Lonchura striata: one gene and its partner. The protein of the gene in region 2 interacts with the protein of the main gene of each other region in a biochemical or structural test. Links are inferred from orthologs where the notes say so. Each region holds a gene or a part of one and is shown on either strand. Other genes may lie near its edges.

Evidence for each region.
Region 1: the proteins of FLT1 (region 2) and PGF are reported together in a solved structure, tested with the Homo sapiens proteins (2 studies listed by BioGRID and IntAct, with this or other methods). The link is inferred for Lonchura striata from reciprocal best matches to the Homo sapiens genes FLT1 and PGF.

What each region holds. Positions count from the first base shown.
Region 1 is NC_134608.1:23,220,487-23,228,454, reverse strand, and holds the start of PGF (placenta growth factor), read right to left. Parts: upstream 3,018-7,968; coding exon 2,952-3,017; intron 2,824-2,951; coding exon 2,784-2,823; intron 2,192-2,783; coding exon 1,995-2,191; intron 544-1,994; coding exon 467-543; intron 1-466. UniProt on the Homo sapiens protein: Growth factor active in angiogenesis and endothelial cell growth, stimulating their proliferation and migration. It binds to the receptor FLT1/VEGFR-1. Isoform PlGF-2 binds NRP1/neuropilin-1 and NRP2/neuropilin-2 in a heparin-dependent manner.
Region 2 is NC_134604.1:68,796,100-68,803,055, reverse strand, and holds the start of FLT1 (vascular endothelial growth factor receptor 1), read right to left. Parts: upstream 3,010-6,956; 5' UTR 2,766-3,009; coding exon 2,708-2,765; intron 1-2,707. UniProt on the Homo sapiens protein: Tyrosine-protein kinase that acts as a cell-surface receptor for VEGFA, VEGFB and PGF, and plays an essential role in the development of embryonic vasculature, the regulation of angiogenesis, cell survival, cell migration, macrophage function, chemotaxis, and cancer cell invasion.

The DNA of each region.
Region 1 (7,968 bases), on a different chromosome or scaffold from region 2:
CCTCCCTTAAATGGTGGCCCAAAACTCAGCTGTTGAGCTTTCTCTTTGGGCCACAGTCACATTCAGGCATGCCAAGCCATGGAGCTCCTTGCTGAGCCACCAACTTGGATGTGCTATCTGCCACAGAGCCACCAGCCTTGCTCCATTGCTCACAGGCAGATCCTCTGGCTAAAGGAGCACATGCCAGGCGTGCCAAGGCAGCTGCAGGGATGGGGAGCACAGCCCTGCAGACAGTGAATGGTGCCTGACCTGTCTTCACAATGGCACAAACCCCATCGTCTGCGGGGAGCAGGTGCAGAGATGTGGGGCAGCCTGCAGCTGAACAAGGGCCACAAGCAGCAGCAAACCCTAGTGCAAAGACAGCAAGAGGGGGTGCCAGCACAGCCAGGGTGCCCACAGGGCATCCCTGTTCCACACACAGAATGAGCTGGCAGGCTTGCTCTTGCTGGAACCCAGGAGTCCCTACCTGCACTCGCACTGCTTGTGCTCGGTGAACGCCATCTCCACATAGGGTGCCTCCCCGTTTGGCTTTATCTTCAGGAGCTGAAAGAAGAGCAAAGGTTACTTCTCAGGCAGTGGCAGGAGGGGGCTGGAAAGATTCCTGCACCACTGCCTTGCCACCCCAGGCTCTTGGGAAGATGCATGTCTAACCTGTTCCTCGGGACCTCCAACAACAGAGTCCACCTCCACACGTAGGCAGTACTGGCCAGGCCCAGCTGCCCTGGCAGCTCTGCTAGTGGCGGCTCTGCTAGCGCTTCCCCATGTCTTCAGGGCTTTAATTTAAGTCATGTGGTCTCAGGATTTCCCAGCCTTAGAAAAGATTTTTCAGTCTCTGCCTTTCCAGAGAATTTTCACATATTTGACCCCTTTGCACATTTCCCTTCTCTGACAGAAATATCCCCCCAGTCATGTTTTTCAGGCCAATTCCATTGCTGCTGCCTCCTCCTGGACCCCTTTCCTACAGCACTGAGTTGGAATTGACTGGAGTCAGTACCACAGTGCCTCCCCAGTCCAGGGGTACAGGATTCGCTCTGTCACATGTCACAGCCCAGCCTGAAGTTCAGGCTGGACATCCAAGGGCCTTACAGGGTACACTCATAATTGGTGGGATCCACACCAGCTCCTGCAGAAGTGTCTGACATTTCCACTTTGTACACAGCAGCAGGATCCCTCCCATAGAGGGAGACCTGTGCCTGGGGAGCTTCCTCCTGCTCACACCAGGCTTTTGATCCACCTCAGCCAAGAGCTTTTTGCCATCCTTCCTTCCAACACACTTTCAACCTCAGAGAGACCAAAATCACTGGTGATTTATTGCAGGCATTCCCTAGTCCATCATCCATGGCAAAGTAGAGCATTTGCCTGGTTCCTGCAGCATCAGCAGGTTGACCTCTGGCAGCTCTGTGCAGGGGCTGCAGTGTGAGGACAACTGCTGCCTGCTACATGGGGAAGAGTTGAACGGCTCAGGATCTCCCATCCCACATCTCACAGCTCACACAGTGGTGACTGAAAACGCAGTTGGCTCAGCCCTTCATGCTCACCATGCCGCAGTGTGGGGGCATTCATGTCAGCACCACCCCAAGCATCACCTGATAGAGGAGAGCCTCACTCCTCCCTTCGATTCGAGGGCAGTACCTACTTTGTCCCAGCAGGCAGCCACAGCTAACTGGAACACCCCCCAGCCCCACCACAGGACAGGAAAGGTCTGGAAAAAATGACAGCAAGAGCAAGACAGACCACACAGAGAGAAGTCAGGGAAGGAGGGAGTAAGGCCAGTACCACCAGGGGCGACACCTGACCTCAGGGGCAAGCTCAAAGAGCAGGCAGAGGGACCCTACTGGCTTGGCATGCATTTGAGCACTTGTAAATCCTCTCCCTCTCTAGCCACACTGCTACAATGTCTAGAGGACGCAAAGCTGCAAGTTCACCTTCCCGGCGCTTGGTGAGCAGCCCTGCACCTCTCCGGTGCAGCCCGGCCCCGCAGCAGCAGCACGTACCTGCATGGTGACCGTGCTTGTCTCCACGGGGACGCAGCGGAGACCCTCGTCCCCACAACAGCCTCCACAGCGCTGCAGGGAGACGCAGGAGGGTCTGAAAATGTACTCCACCTCGTTAGGGAATTCGGTAATGACGTCCACCAGCTGCTCCAGAGGCCGGCAGAAACTACGGTTCCAGATCTCCCGAAAGGTAAGGACTGCAAGAGACAGGGACTATAAGGAGGCGTCCGGAGAGGCAGAGCCCAGCCGGGCCGCTGCCGGGGCAGGTGCAGCAGCCTCGAGGGCGTCTGTGCTCGCAGTAAGTCCGTCACCGTACTGTGCACATCACTGTGCGGGGGCTCACACAGCCGTCCCAACAGGCTCTTTCTCCCTCTCTCCGCCAGCTCCATCCCCTGCCCGGGCACTCTGCTCATCCCCGAGCTCCGCCGCGGAGGGGCTCCCCCGGATCTCTCCCGGCCGGACAGCCGTTCCCTGGGGCTTTCCAGGAGGGAGCGCAGAAGCGGAGCGCTCCCACCCGGCACCCCGCATGCCAGCACCGGAGGGGCGGCAGTCCAGGGACTGGGCTGTGCTCCGGCCCGCGGCGGTGCCCGGTGCCCGAGGAGGGCTGGGGGCATCACATTGCTCCGAGCCTCGGCACAGCTCCCGGCTACCTCCCCGGTTGTCACCACGGGACTCCAGAGGTAACACAGCCCCGGTAGTACCCAACGCTCCCCAGCCTTGCGCGAAGCCTTCGCTGGGTTGCTGCCCGCTCCCAGCCGGGGCACCGGCGGCCGCCCGCTACCAACTCACCGGGAGACTCCGTGCTGGCTATCCCCCGTTCCTCCGGGGCCTGCAGGGAGAGAAAGGCGAGCTCTGGAGGGGCAGCACGGGGTGACCCGCCGCCGCCCCCCGCCCAGAGCCGGGAGGAGCGGGGAGCCGCACCCTGCTCCGACCCCCCTCCCGCCCCCCGGCTCTCACCGGGGCGGGCGGTGCCCCCAGCGTCCCGGCCACCAGCAACCGCAGGAAGGCGCCGAGCAGCCGCATCGCCGCTCCCGCCGCCCCGGTACAGAGTCGGCTCCGCCACTAGCGCCCTGCCGCCCCCGGCATACCGCCCCGACGCCGGGCCGCCGGCCCCGCCGTGCCGCCTCCGCCGCCGCCGGGCCATGGGAGCGCGCCCCGCTCTGCCGCCGTATTTCACCGCCACCGCCCCGCCGCTGCCCCGCCCCGGCCCCGCCGCGGGGCGGGAGCAGGTGCCCGGCCCCGGCGGCCGCGGGGACGGCCGGTGCTCCCGGACGCGGCAGAGCCGCCTCCTCCAGCGCCCCCGCACCGCCTCTGGCCATCACTCCATCGGGCTGTCCCGGCGCTTCATTCACCGTCCCGTGCCGGTGAATCCCGGCCGGCGGGAACCACCGGGGCTGTGTTGGGCTTCTCGGCTTGCTGTTTTCACTGCCCCATGCCCATCTACCCATTCTGTGCCCAGCTGGCTCCTGCCCCCATACAACAGCCCCTTTCCCACCCATCCTCTTCATTCCTCTACTGATGCCCTGTTCCCACTCAGACTTCCCGTGACTGTCCACCCACCCCCTTCCCCCTCAAGCTGCCCTATGCCTGTTCCATCAGCTCCTGCCGTTGGACCCCTGCCAAAGGGTTTCCAGCCCCCCCCCGGCCTCAGGGACAGCATCCTGGTTCTGGTCTACAGCTCGGAAGGGAAAGGGGCGCAGCAGGTCTCAGGTCAAACCCTGCTGCCAACCCAAAGCAGCTCTGTTGGCCTTTTCTGTTCTATTTTTAAGCCCCTGAGGCCAGGGAAGCTGGAGCTGTGGGAGGTGTGATGAGATGCCAACAGGCAACACGATCCCCCGTGGGCTGCAGGTCCTAGGGAAATAACGAGCTCTGTGTCCATGCCAGGATTCACGTTTCTGTCCTCCTGGGAGAGTGGGGAGGCTGCTTCAGGGTTTCCCTACCCAGCACCGTGTGAGGTCTGTCCCTGCAGCATGAGGATGCTAATGATCTGTTCCCAGCCCTGTGATCTGCTCCCATCTGTCCCCAGGGGATGCAGGACATGCCAGCTGCCTGTCCTCAGTCCCGCTGGGCCATGCAAGTGGCAGTGATTTAGGCACCAGCAGGAGCCGGGCTCAGTCAGGAGCTTCTAGGCATTGGTACCACTGAGTGTGTGACAAAGCTGCTGGAGCAAGGCCTGGCAAATTAGCATGGAGATCCTGCAGAGATAAGCACACAGAAATCCCAGCCCCACCACGGGGAGGGTGTGCTGCAGTTCATCACTCAGCAGCACTGCACCAACTCAGCAGCTGCCGGGGCTGCTGTGGCAGCGTTCAGTGTCTGTTCATACTTCTTGTCTTGGCTGGGCAGCAAAGAGCAGGTAACATCCTTAACGTGTTGACTGGAGCATGCCTGTAGCCTCCCTTGGCTACCCTATGGACCCTCCTGGGCCAAGGGGACCCCGTTCCCACTTCCCCAGGGTTGGTTGTGGGATGGGGTGAAGAGAGCATTTCCTCCCACCCGAGAGCAGAGGCTGCCCTGAGCAGCAGCTGCTGCCAACTCACTGGACAGACAGAATCCTGTTATTGCAAAGACCGTGACCACATGGGGCCTCATGCCTGTCCTTGCAGGAAGGTCCCTCGGGGCCACCTCTCAGACACAAGGCCAGCCTCTGGCACTAGTGCAAAGGGCTCTCCCCCAGGAGCTGTGTGGCTGGGGAGACCAGCCCTTAATTGCTGAGTGCAGTCCTGTTCCTGGTCTGAAACTATTTCCTCAGAGGCCTTGGGCAGAGTTTACATTCCTGGGATGAGCATCCACTTTCTAGGCAGTGTGGAACACAGAGAGAAGAGGAATAATATTTGGACACCGGTAACCTGTGATCAGCGATATCCTCCTGCATATGGAAGAAACATCAATCTGGCTGGGGTCACAGTTGCTTGCTTTCCCCTCTGCCATGCTCCTCCCCAGGGGGCCAAATCTGCCCTTCCCCAGCTGCAGGACAGGGCTGGAGGTCGGTGCTATAAATGCACCAGCATGTCCCTCGCGCCGCCTCCCACTCGGCTCTGGGGAGCAGAGTTACGCACTTTGGGAGCAAGGGACAGAGGAAGCTCAAGGAACCAGCCAGGGACATAAGGCAAATAGAGACATTTCCTTAAAGAGCAAATGCCTCCCCTGAAGTGAGCCCCACGCAGTGGCTGCTGCCTGAGAGCATCACCCCAGATATGCCACTGCCTGCCTGTGCCACCTCCCTGCCCTGCTCACAGAGCTGAGGAAGGAGGTGGGTGGGGAATGATGGTGTGTTCTTGCTGTGAGTGAGCCCTGGCCATCAAGTGGGGAAGGCCAGCCCTGGCATCAAGCTGCAAGCATGCCATGGCACAGCCCTGACAGGGAGCAGGGTCACCTCCATGCTTCCTGCACCTTCAGGGTGAGGGGCAAGAGCAGGGCTCTGACTGCCCATAACACTGAAAGAGCCCCAAGCAAGCAGCTGCTCTTCCCTGCAGAACCCCACCCTGTTCATTGCAGGCAAGGCTGCTCTAAAGTAATCTTTTCCATAAAACAGCCCCATTTCAGCATCAGAGCTCTCTTACGGGCATCTTATACCCTGCAAAATCCCACCTTTGGCATTTCACATGGAAAGAACCCAACCGAAACTTGTCCCTGCATCATTCTTAAACTGACTGCAGCCAGGACCTCCAGCATCACCCCCGAAGCCCTCAGAGAACACCTCTGAAATCCTCAGGGCATTATTTTTGTTCTGCTGCTATTTAGGACACAGGACTCAGTCTCACCAAAGCCATAGGCTTCTACCAAGGGAAGGGCCAGTCCATCCATGATCCAGTGCCCAGCACAGCCACCCTCTTGTGTTTGACCCCAGTAGGCAAGAACCCCACCAGCGGCTTCCTATGTCCTGCATTGTGACGGGACTCCTGAGGTCAAAGCAGAATGAGGATGTAGGTCACTGGGCTCCTCACACCTGCCTGTCATCCCAGAGCCCCCAGGTTTCCCTCTCACTGTTTCATTTGATTGCTTTCTCTGCTTCTGGGATCTCTTCTTAGAGAGTCTCCCAAGCTCCACTACCAGAGAGCCAGTCCATAGCTAGGCTAGCAGTGAGATAAACCAGGTCAGTCGCCTGCAGTTTGTATCTCCACTGTGAGAATGAGGATGGGAATGGTCAGGCTGGGGCATCCCCAGCTCCAGCCTCTTGGCACAGGTAACCCAGGCCTCTCTCTCAGGAGACTGCTGCTGACTTCTGAGAAATGCAGGGATCTCCAATGCCCTTGCAGGCAAGCAGAGCTGCACCAATGACCCCTGAACAGTTAGTGCTGCTCCTCAAGGAAACAGCTTGCAAACAACCTGTCTGGGCACTGGGCCCTGAAGGACTCCTCAGAGCTCTGCTGCAGCAGCTCCAACTCTGAGATGCCCTGGGCAGCACATCCCCTGTCCCTGGTGGCTCACTGTGGTGGCGTCAGTGCCTCTCCCAGCCCAGGTGTGCAGGGGGATGTGTTTGCTGAGGGGGAGGCTGACAATAGGGGGAAATGGGCCAGGCTGTGCACCCCAATGGTGGTGGCTCACAGCCCCGGCCACTGCTGCTCACGGCAGGCGGAAGCGTCCGGCCTTAGTCAGCCCCGGCTGCACGTGGCAGGAACTCTGCTGTTTGTTTTGGTTCCTGGGGAGGGGAGCTCAGCCTCCCTGGGGACCCACAACCGAACCTGCAGGCACCTGACAGTCCAGCCCCATGCCTGGAGACATCAGGGTCTGGTCCCCACGGGCCACGGGCACTGCAGGCTGGCCTAGGTCAGACATGAGTTTTGGAAGGGCAGGGGATGAGCACCAGGACTGCCGGAGAGCACTCCAGGCAGAGAACCCAGGCAAGGGGAATCCTTGGCAAGCCTGGATACTGCTTTCAGACATTAATCCCTCGTGGGGGCAGGGACGGTGCTACCAAGGAGGATGTCCCTGAGACTGCCAGACCCAAGCCCTGGGAAGCCGCGGCCCTCATCCAGCCAGCGTTCCAGGAGTAGATCAACATTGGCAGACCTAGTACCACTCAGCTTAGTGCTCAGTGGCCAGAGGCTGGGCAGCTCTATGCTGCAGGGACTGGTCAGGCCATGGGTGTTTGCAGAAAAGCACAGCCCTGGAGCAGGGTGAGGCACTGGAGAGCCACACCACAGCCCCGAGCATACGTGGGCACTTACAGGTAAGCATTCTGTCAGCAGCCCCGACAGCAAGCACAATTACCATGCCAAAACAGCAGCCCCATGCACACCAAGCACCTGAGAGACCAGAGCAGGCAGCAGAGACACAGTAATCACAGCACAGCTCACCCTGCTCTGTCCAAGTTCCTCTACTGAAGCCCTGGGTGGGAGCTGCAGCTTCAAGTCCCAGAAAGCCTGCAGGAATTTCTCTCCAGCAGCTGTAGAGTGCTGTGCTTGGGAAAAACAAGGCTGAGAGCAGGACAGACTGGTGCAGCAGTGTGCATGACCTTCTGCCATCGGCAGACAGAACAGCCTGGGCCCGCACAGGCTGGAGGCACAGGGCATGGAAACTGTGGGAGGGGTGAGATTCTCCCTGCAGGAGCAGAGCAGCCCTCTCCTCAGGAAAGAGACGGGTTACTTTTCCACCAGAGAACCAAGCATATTCTGCACATTTATCACGTTTCATCTACCCTGGGGAAAGGGCAGTGAGCACTGAACAGAGAAGAGGCACACAGGCACAAACCGGCTGCTGCTCTGCTGCTGCTGCCCCTGCTCTCCAGCTTTCCCAGCCCAGCCGCTCGGTGGGCAGGGGCTGCCAGGCACTTTTCTCCCCTGCCAAACTGGAACCCGATCCACACCCAGCCCAGAGCTTCTGGCTGCTTATCGTGTGGATGCAGTTCTCCTGCTTTTAGCTGTCATAATATTGACACAAAGCAAAATAATAGTGATGGCGAGACTATGCCTGGCTCTGGAAGGCAAACAGGCAAGGAGATGGGGAGTAGCAGACTCTGCTATTGTGTGGG
Region 2 (6,956 bases):
CACAGTCCTTCACAATCCCAAATGCTAGTGATTAAAATGATAGCAATACTATAGTAATAATTATAATTATGGCAATAAAGTTGAGGACTGGGAGATTGAACTGAATACAACAACCGCATATTCATGTTGACTGTTATGTGTATAATCATTAGCAAGCATATGCAATACAATTTGTGGAATAAATAATTATAAGATATAAAGAAAACATATTTGAATTCTATGCAAAACTGAGAAAAAAAGTATTGTTCTTTCCCAAGTTAACAAAATATGTGTGTGCACAAGAGAGCTGAAGTGCCCAACACTCACATGTCAAATGCATTTAATTTCCTTAATCTCATTTTTCAAATGGGTACTCTCAAAGCTTGTAGGCTGCATGTTGCTTTGGGTAATTTTAAATTATTAAGTAGATTTATATGAGCTGAAAGACCTCCTTCTGTCTCCTCCTTGTGGAGGTATATTTAGGTTCTTTCTGAACCACTGACTATTTCTGAGAGTCTCCCCTAGAACCTGTCAGTAAATTGAAGCTCAGCAGGCACCTGCAGAGATTGAATTACAAGAGGGGACCAGTGATTAATTGAATTGCATCAAGAGCACTGGAAATGGAAAGTGCTGGGCAGCCTGAGTAAGAAATGTAGGTAAATAAGCAGTGAAGGAGGGTGAAATAGGAGGAAAAGTACAGAGATGTATGGTACAAAACATTCCCCCACTTCAACAATAACTTTCAAACTATCCATGCAAATGCAACTATGGAGAGTTCTGCCAGTGGTCCAGAAGAAGCATGATCAACCTATTTGAGATGTCCAAACAAAGCTGAGCGAGAATGCTTTTCTAGAAAGCAAACAAAAAAACCCAAGAAAACCAATGAGTCTGAAAACATTTAAATTCTGATTTGAGCACAATCTCTTGTACATGGGGCAGATATGAACTTCCAGGAGAATGGTTGTAAGGGCACCCAGACAAACTAGAGAATAAACTTTCCAACACCTACAGCACCTGAGCCAGCCATTGGGATGTTTGTCCCCAGTACCCAGAGCCCCTGGCTGTCCCCTAAGCAAGCCAAGCTTTTCCCACTGGGATTGGTCTAGGGTACACATGAACAGGAAGGTGAAGCAGTGTCTCTCTCACCACCCCTGGCGCAGAGAGTCCACCCTGTCCCTGGGCAGTGGGCTTGCCATGATCTGCACAATGGAAAACCTTTCTGACAGGAAGGAGGAAGCCAGTCCCCTAGCAGAGCTGGTCACTGCAGGAGCCCATGCAGGAGCAGGACGCCGAAGTTCGGACTCAAGCTGTGAAGGAAGCCTGGCAAGGATCTCAATCCACATTTCCTGTATCCAGGGTGGGTGTCCCATGCCTGTGCCTATTTCATCTTGGGCATGAGAACCTCCTAGGCAGAGACAAATAATGTGGGGAAATTAGCACTTTCCTGGGGAAAAGAAAAAGGAAAGAGAATGTAGAACACCTATATATCTGTATCAAAGCTGATGAATCAGCACTTCCCGAGCAGGAAAACGTCTTGTCGGAGCGGCCCCTCCAGCTCTCCTCCCGGGCAGCCTCAGGCAGCGGGACGGCTCCCGTGGGCTCAGCGGCGCGGAGCACACCGAGCCCCGGCCACTCGCGAGGGACCGCGTGGCCGCGGACCGCAGGAACGCTGGCCTTGACGGCTGTCCCGCGGGGAGCCCGGCTTTTGGCTTCCCCAGCCGGGGTTTGTGCTTGCTCCCCGCCGGCCCCTTTCTGCCGAGCGCCGTCCCCGCGGGAGCGGCCGCGGCCGTGCGCGCTGCCCGGGCGGGACACGCGGAGCCCGTGCGCGGACAGGCTGCGGGAGCGCCCATCGCCTCTCTCCGCGGGGCATCCCCGCAGGTCACCGGCCCTGCCGAGCCACGAGCCCACACGGGACCGGCCTTTGCCCGGCCACCACGCACACCCCTGCTCTCAGGTGACCAGCCACATAACGCTGGGGCGCACTGCCCACCGCGGCGCTCCGGCCCACGGAGACTGGCTCTTGGCTCAAAGTAAAATAAAACTCAGTTAAGAATATCAAATCTGCAATGATCCATCCCCATCAATGCGGGATGCAGGCACCGGAGAGCAGCTCCACCCCACTCTCCAGTAAGACCCGGCAGCCAGCCCCGCACGGAGCGCCACCGGTGCTCCGCCGACCTGCTCAGGCGGGAGGCAGCAGGACCTCGATTTTTGCGAAGAAAAGGTACAGCTTTGCCGCTTCACGGGCAGAACGGGGACACTTGAAAACAAAATGCGGAGAAAAGAAGCGTGCCCTGGAACCAAGACATGTTCTCGTTCCGTGATGCACTGGTTCGGACAACTCCCAATGATGTACGGCGGTGCCCTGTGCCCGGGAGAGGCTGGCCTCCACGCCACCACTGCCTTGCGGGAGAAGCACCACGGCTCCGCACCGCCGGACCGTCCGGGGAGCTGCTCCCCGGGCACGCCGATGGGGATCCGGAGCATAACGACAGCTCGGGAATGCGGCGCTTCTCCGCTCCCTGGAAAGCAGGGATCACTTCCCCGGCCCTGCTCAGAGGAGAATGGCGAAGGAGAGGCAGGTGCCCGCCGGCTCCAGCCGACAAGCGGGGTGTGGCGGGACCGGTCAGGGGCGCGGGAGGCGCAGCCGACGAGGCTCATCACTGGGGGCCCGTCGCGGAGATCTCGGCGCAGAGCGGGGTCTGACCGCGTACCAGCGGTGCCTTACCTGCGAGCAGGAGGGCGGCTCCCAGCAGCACGGTCCCTGAGAGCAGCTGGCGGGGCATGGTCCTGCCTGCGGGAACGCAGGGCTTTTTCCCTGCCGACGGCAGCGAGGCAGGGGCAGAGGCGCCGGCTGGGATCCGACGGGCTCTCCTCGGTCCCGGGCGCTTCCCGCGGTGGAGGAGATAGCGGCAAAGCGAGGCGCGGAATCGGCATCCAGCAGCCCCCGAGTCCTGCCCGCCCGCCCCGGCCCGGCCCGACCTGCGGAAACGGAGTATCCGCTGCGGGCCGCCCTGCCAGCTTCACCTCCCGCGGGCATCAGATACCCGCCAGCCCCAGCATCGCTGATTTATAACTTCTCCACCCCTCGCCGCGCACCCCTCCGCCCCCCCGCCCACATCCTCCGCCGGGAGCACGCCCTCGCCGGGACGCGTCCCCCGCCCGCTCGCCCGCCCGCCCGTCGGCGGGCACGGTGTCGCTGCCCCGCGGGTCTCCCAGTCCCGGACACCCCCGGCCCCCAGGGAGCCGGGCCGTGCCGTCCCTCCGGAGCCCGGCTCTGGGCTGCTTCCAGCCGCCGCGGCCGCCGCGCTGCTGGGGCGGGCAGCGGGACTCGTCGCTCGCACGTTGCCGGGCTCCTCTAGGCAGGGTGTGAAGCGGCTTGGGATTCCTGGATGAAATGCTGAGCGGCGGGGTCCCGGTGTTGCGGAGACCCTCTCCCGCTCCGCAGGAAAACTTCGACAGCGCCACGTCCCGCCACCGGCTGCCGAGCCCGGTGCCAGGTCGGGCGGGGGCCATTTACAGCCCCTCCCCGGCTGCCCGGCGCGATGCTCGGAGTGCCCAAAGCGCTGCCCGTGCCCCAGGCGCCCGAGACTCCATTCCCCACCTTCCTTGGGGAGAAGGAGCCGTGGGGCAGATCGCTCTGTGCGGGGCCTGACCCAGACCACCACGGGTCCCCAGCCAGCAGCACTGAGAGCGCTCAGAGCAGGGAAGCCAGGAAGGGGCAGCACTGGCTAAGGATGCTTAGGAAGTCTGCCCTGCCAGCTCCCCTGCTGTCCTTCACTGAGTCTATAACATCCAGGGCAGCGCTGGAAATATATTTCTCCTCTCACCCATGCACATACCACGTTTCCCATACATGTTTTATTTTGTGAAAGATCAGCAGAGAGCCCATGACCGCAAAGTTCAAGGCCCGTGTTTCCACTTTTCCCCTGTTGAGCCAGAAGAAACGCTGTTGCATGAGCCAGATCTTCAGTTTGACCCACTGTGGCCCTTTCTATATTTTTATACTATGAAATAAGTCACAAGAATATGTTGGGGCAGGTAAATGTGGTCATCCCCTTCTTACAGAGAAGGAAACGGAGGCGCATAGAGAGGTTAGGCAGCTAGTCCAAGGTCATAGGAAGCTGGTGACAGAAGACATAAATAGAACTCAGACCTCCCATGTCCCACCAGACCATCCTGTACAAGAAAAAAAAAAAAAGAAGTTGATGTTGTTTTTAACTTGAGAAGTGTTTAACTTTAAAGTTTAAAGTCTGTGAGAATATTTCCTGCACGCGTCTGTTCAACTCCTATTCATAAATTACGCCCTAAGCTACAAATTTTAGTCTGTATTTTCCAATCTTCCTGCCCCCAGCTGAGACCTTGAAAATAAAATAGCTATGGATACCTTCCCCTCAGCTGCTCACACCATGGGGGGAAGAACCCAGAGGTTTCTTTCCCGAAGAGAATGACTCACACAAAGTCACCTCCTCCACTGGAGAGGATAGCAGCTGGGAAAACAGTCAGCCAGGGAGGACAGGCCAACAAGAACTAGGACACTGAGCATCCTGACAGGTTAGACCCCCTAGGAGCAAGGGCTCCCCTGTAGAAGGACCTCAGGGAACAGTTTGTGCCTGCCTTTGGCCAGCCTAGTGCTGAGTCTGAGATGATGTGAACCTAATCACAAGCTCAGCAGCCATTCCACACCAGTTCCTCCCCATCTTCTTCACACCTCCTACATCACAGCTGCATTCAGTCATGGCCCTCCAAAGACCACATTTCTTTGGCAAGCTATAGCTTCTTCCTTCTCCAACAGATGTCATCAGCTCGTGATCCACTCAAGTGACCAGGGAGGCCAAACCTGAAGATCTGCTCCTAATCTCTTTTCACTCTTTTATATGTTAAGGTCAGGGAGAGATGAGATGTGGAGCTTGTAGAATGGAAAGATCCAAGCAGAGAGATACAAGGAAGAAAGAAGAAGCAGATATTCCCATAAAGCAGAAGGAAGGTATAGTAGGAAACTTGTGCTTGGAACTGAACAGTCTAAACACATAAATTGGAACATCTGGACAGATGGAAAATGCATATGTGAAGGGGAGGGCCGCATGGAATGTACTTGCCTATTTTTTTTGTGTGTGTGCCTGTGTGTGTGTGTGTGTGTGTGTGTGTGTGTTTGTGTGTATGTGTGTGTGTGTGTGTGAACTACTACCATGCAATTTGCAACACCCAGTAGGATGCAAACTACCTTTGAAGAGTAGTTTAGATGCTGTGGCTGGACAAACGCTGAGACAGCCATAGGTCTGTCCCAGGCATAAGTCTATACTGCAGGCAATATGATCTCTTCATACCAGAATCTTAGGCCTTAGTTAGATTCTAAGTAGTGGGTGGCATATGTGAGGCCAAATTTATCATTGGCATTCAACCATTACTTACTGAGGCAAACAGCTCTGGTACAAGCACATCTCACAGCAGAGTAGGGGATCATGGAGAACAGGGCGAGTTTCTAGAATGAGGGGAAACCCAAGAGAGGCTTACATGGAATCGGCAGCTTGCACAAGAGAGGCTGACTCAACATAGGACAGAGCCAGGAGCCCCCTGGGGAGCATGAGCATGAATCTGGAGACATCCCACTCAGCTGGAAGCTGGCTAATATCCTAGGCTTCAAGGAGGGCAAGAAGGATGACCTTGATAACTGCAGGTCTGTCAGGTTCTGCTGGAGAGCAGCACCATAGAAAGTGTCAGTGGCAAGCTGAATATAAGTCTGCAGTGTGACTCACATTAGTGACTCGTACCAGTGAGTCCTGGTAGCCAGGAGGTCAAACACCCTGGGAGGGTGTCAGGCACAGCATCACCAGCCAACCAAGGGAGGGGATTGTCCCACTCTGATCTGCACTGGTGGGCCTCACCTCAAGTGCTGTGGGCAGTTTTGGGTGACACAATATAAGAAGGACATCAAACTATTACCGTATGTCCAAGGGAATGGGACCAAGATTGTAAATGTCCTCAAGAGCAAGACTTAAGAGGAGGAGCTCAAGTGGCTTGTTTGTACAGCCTAGAGAAGGGGAGAGGGGGGGAGGACTTCATAGTGGTCTACAGCTTCCTTACAAGGTGAAGAGGAGGGGCAGGAGCTTTTATCTTCTTGCTGGTGACCAATAGTAGGCCCCACGGGAACACCACAAAGCTGTGCCAGGGGAGGTTTAGGTTGCATATTAGGAAAAGATTATTCACCCAGAGTGTGACAGAGCACTGAAACAGCTTCCCCACCACACCAAGCCTGTCAAAGTTCAAGTGTTTGGACAATGTTCACAGGCATATGGTGTGATTCTTGGGATATCCTGTGCAGGGCCAGGAGTTAGACTTGATGATTCTTGTGGGTCCCTTCCAACTCGGAATATTCTATGATTTTATGTTTCTATGAATAATGGATACATAACAGTTGCTATGTTCCCTTCAGCTCTGAAATGTGGGAATTTTCATTTTTCTAACATTTGTTAAAAATACTATTACTAAATACTAGGAAGGAAATCAGCCAAATTTAGCAGCTGAGAGTAAGCCCTCTGAAATATATCAGGCAAACATTTTGCAAGACTGATCATCTGCTCAATCTCCAGCACTACAGAAGCTGAAAAAGAGAGAGGAGAAACAGCCTTCACAGTAGAGAACATTTGTTTTCAGTGTTCATTTGCAGCCCAGAAGTACCTTGTATTGTTGAATTTTACTCTGCAGGAAGATCAGAGTAGAGATTTTTCTTTAACAACCCCCACATATGACACTATAATCATCAAGCTGTCAGGCAGCAAAAGCACCAACCCATTTGCATCCCTTGCCTATCCCTGACCAGCAATAGGAAATCTAATTGAGAAGGTAATCAAGGCTCTCAGACTTTAGGTCCAGGTTGAGCAGCAGACTACCATGACAAAGGAACAGAGACGTCATCCTGAGCATATTGGACTTTTCATGGCTGAATACTCAGCCAGCTGAATACTCGTTGCCTCTTG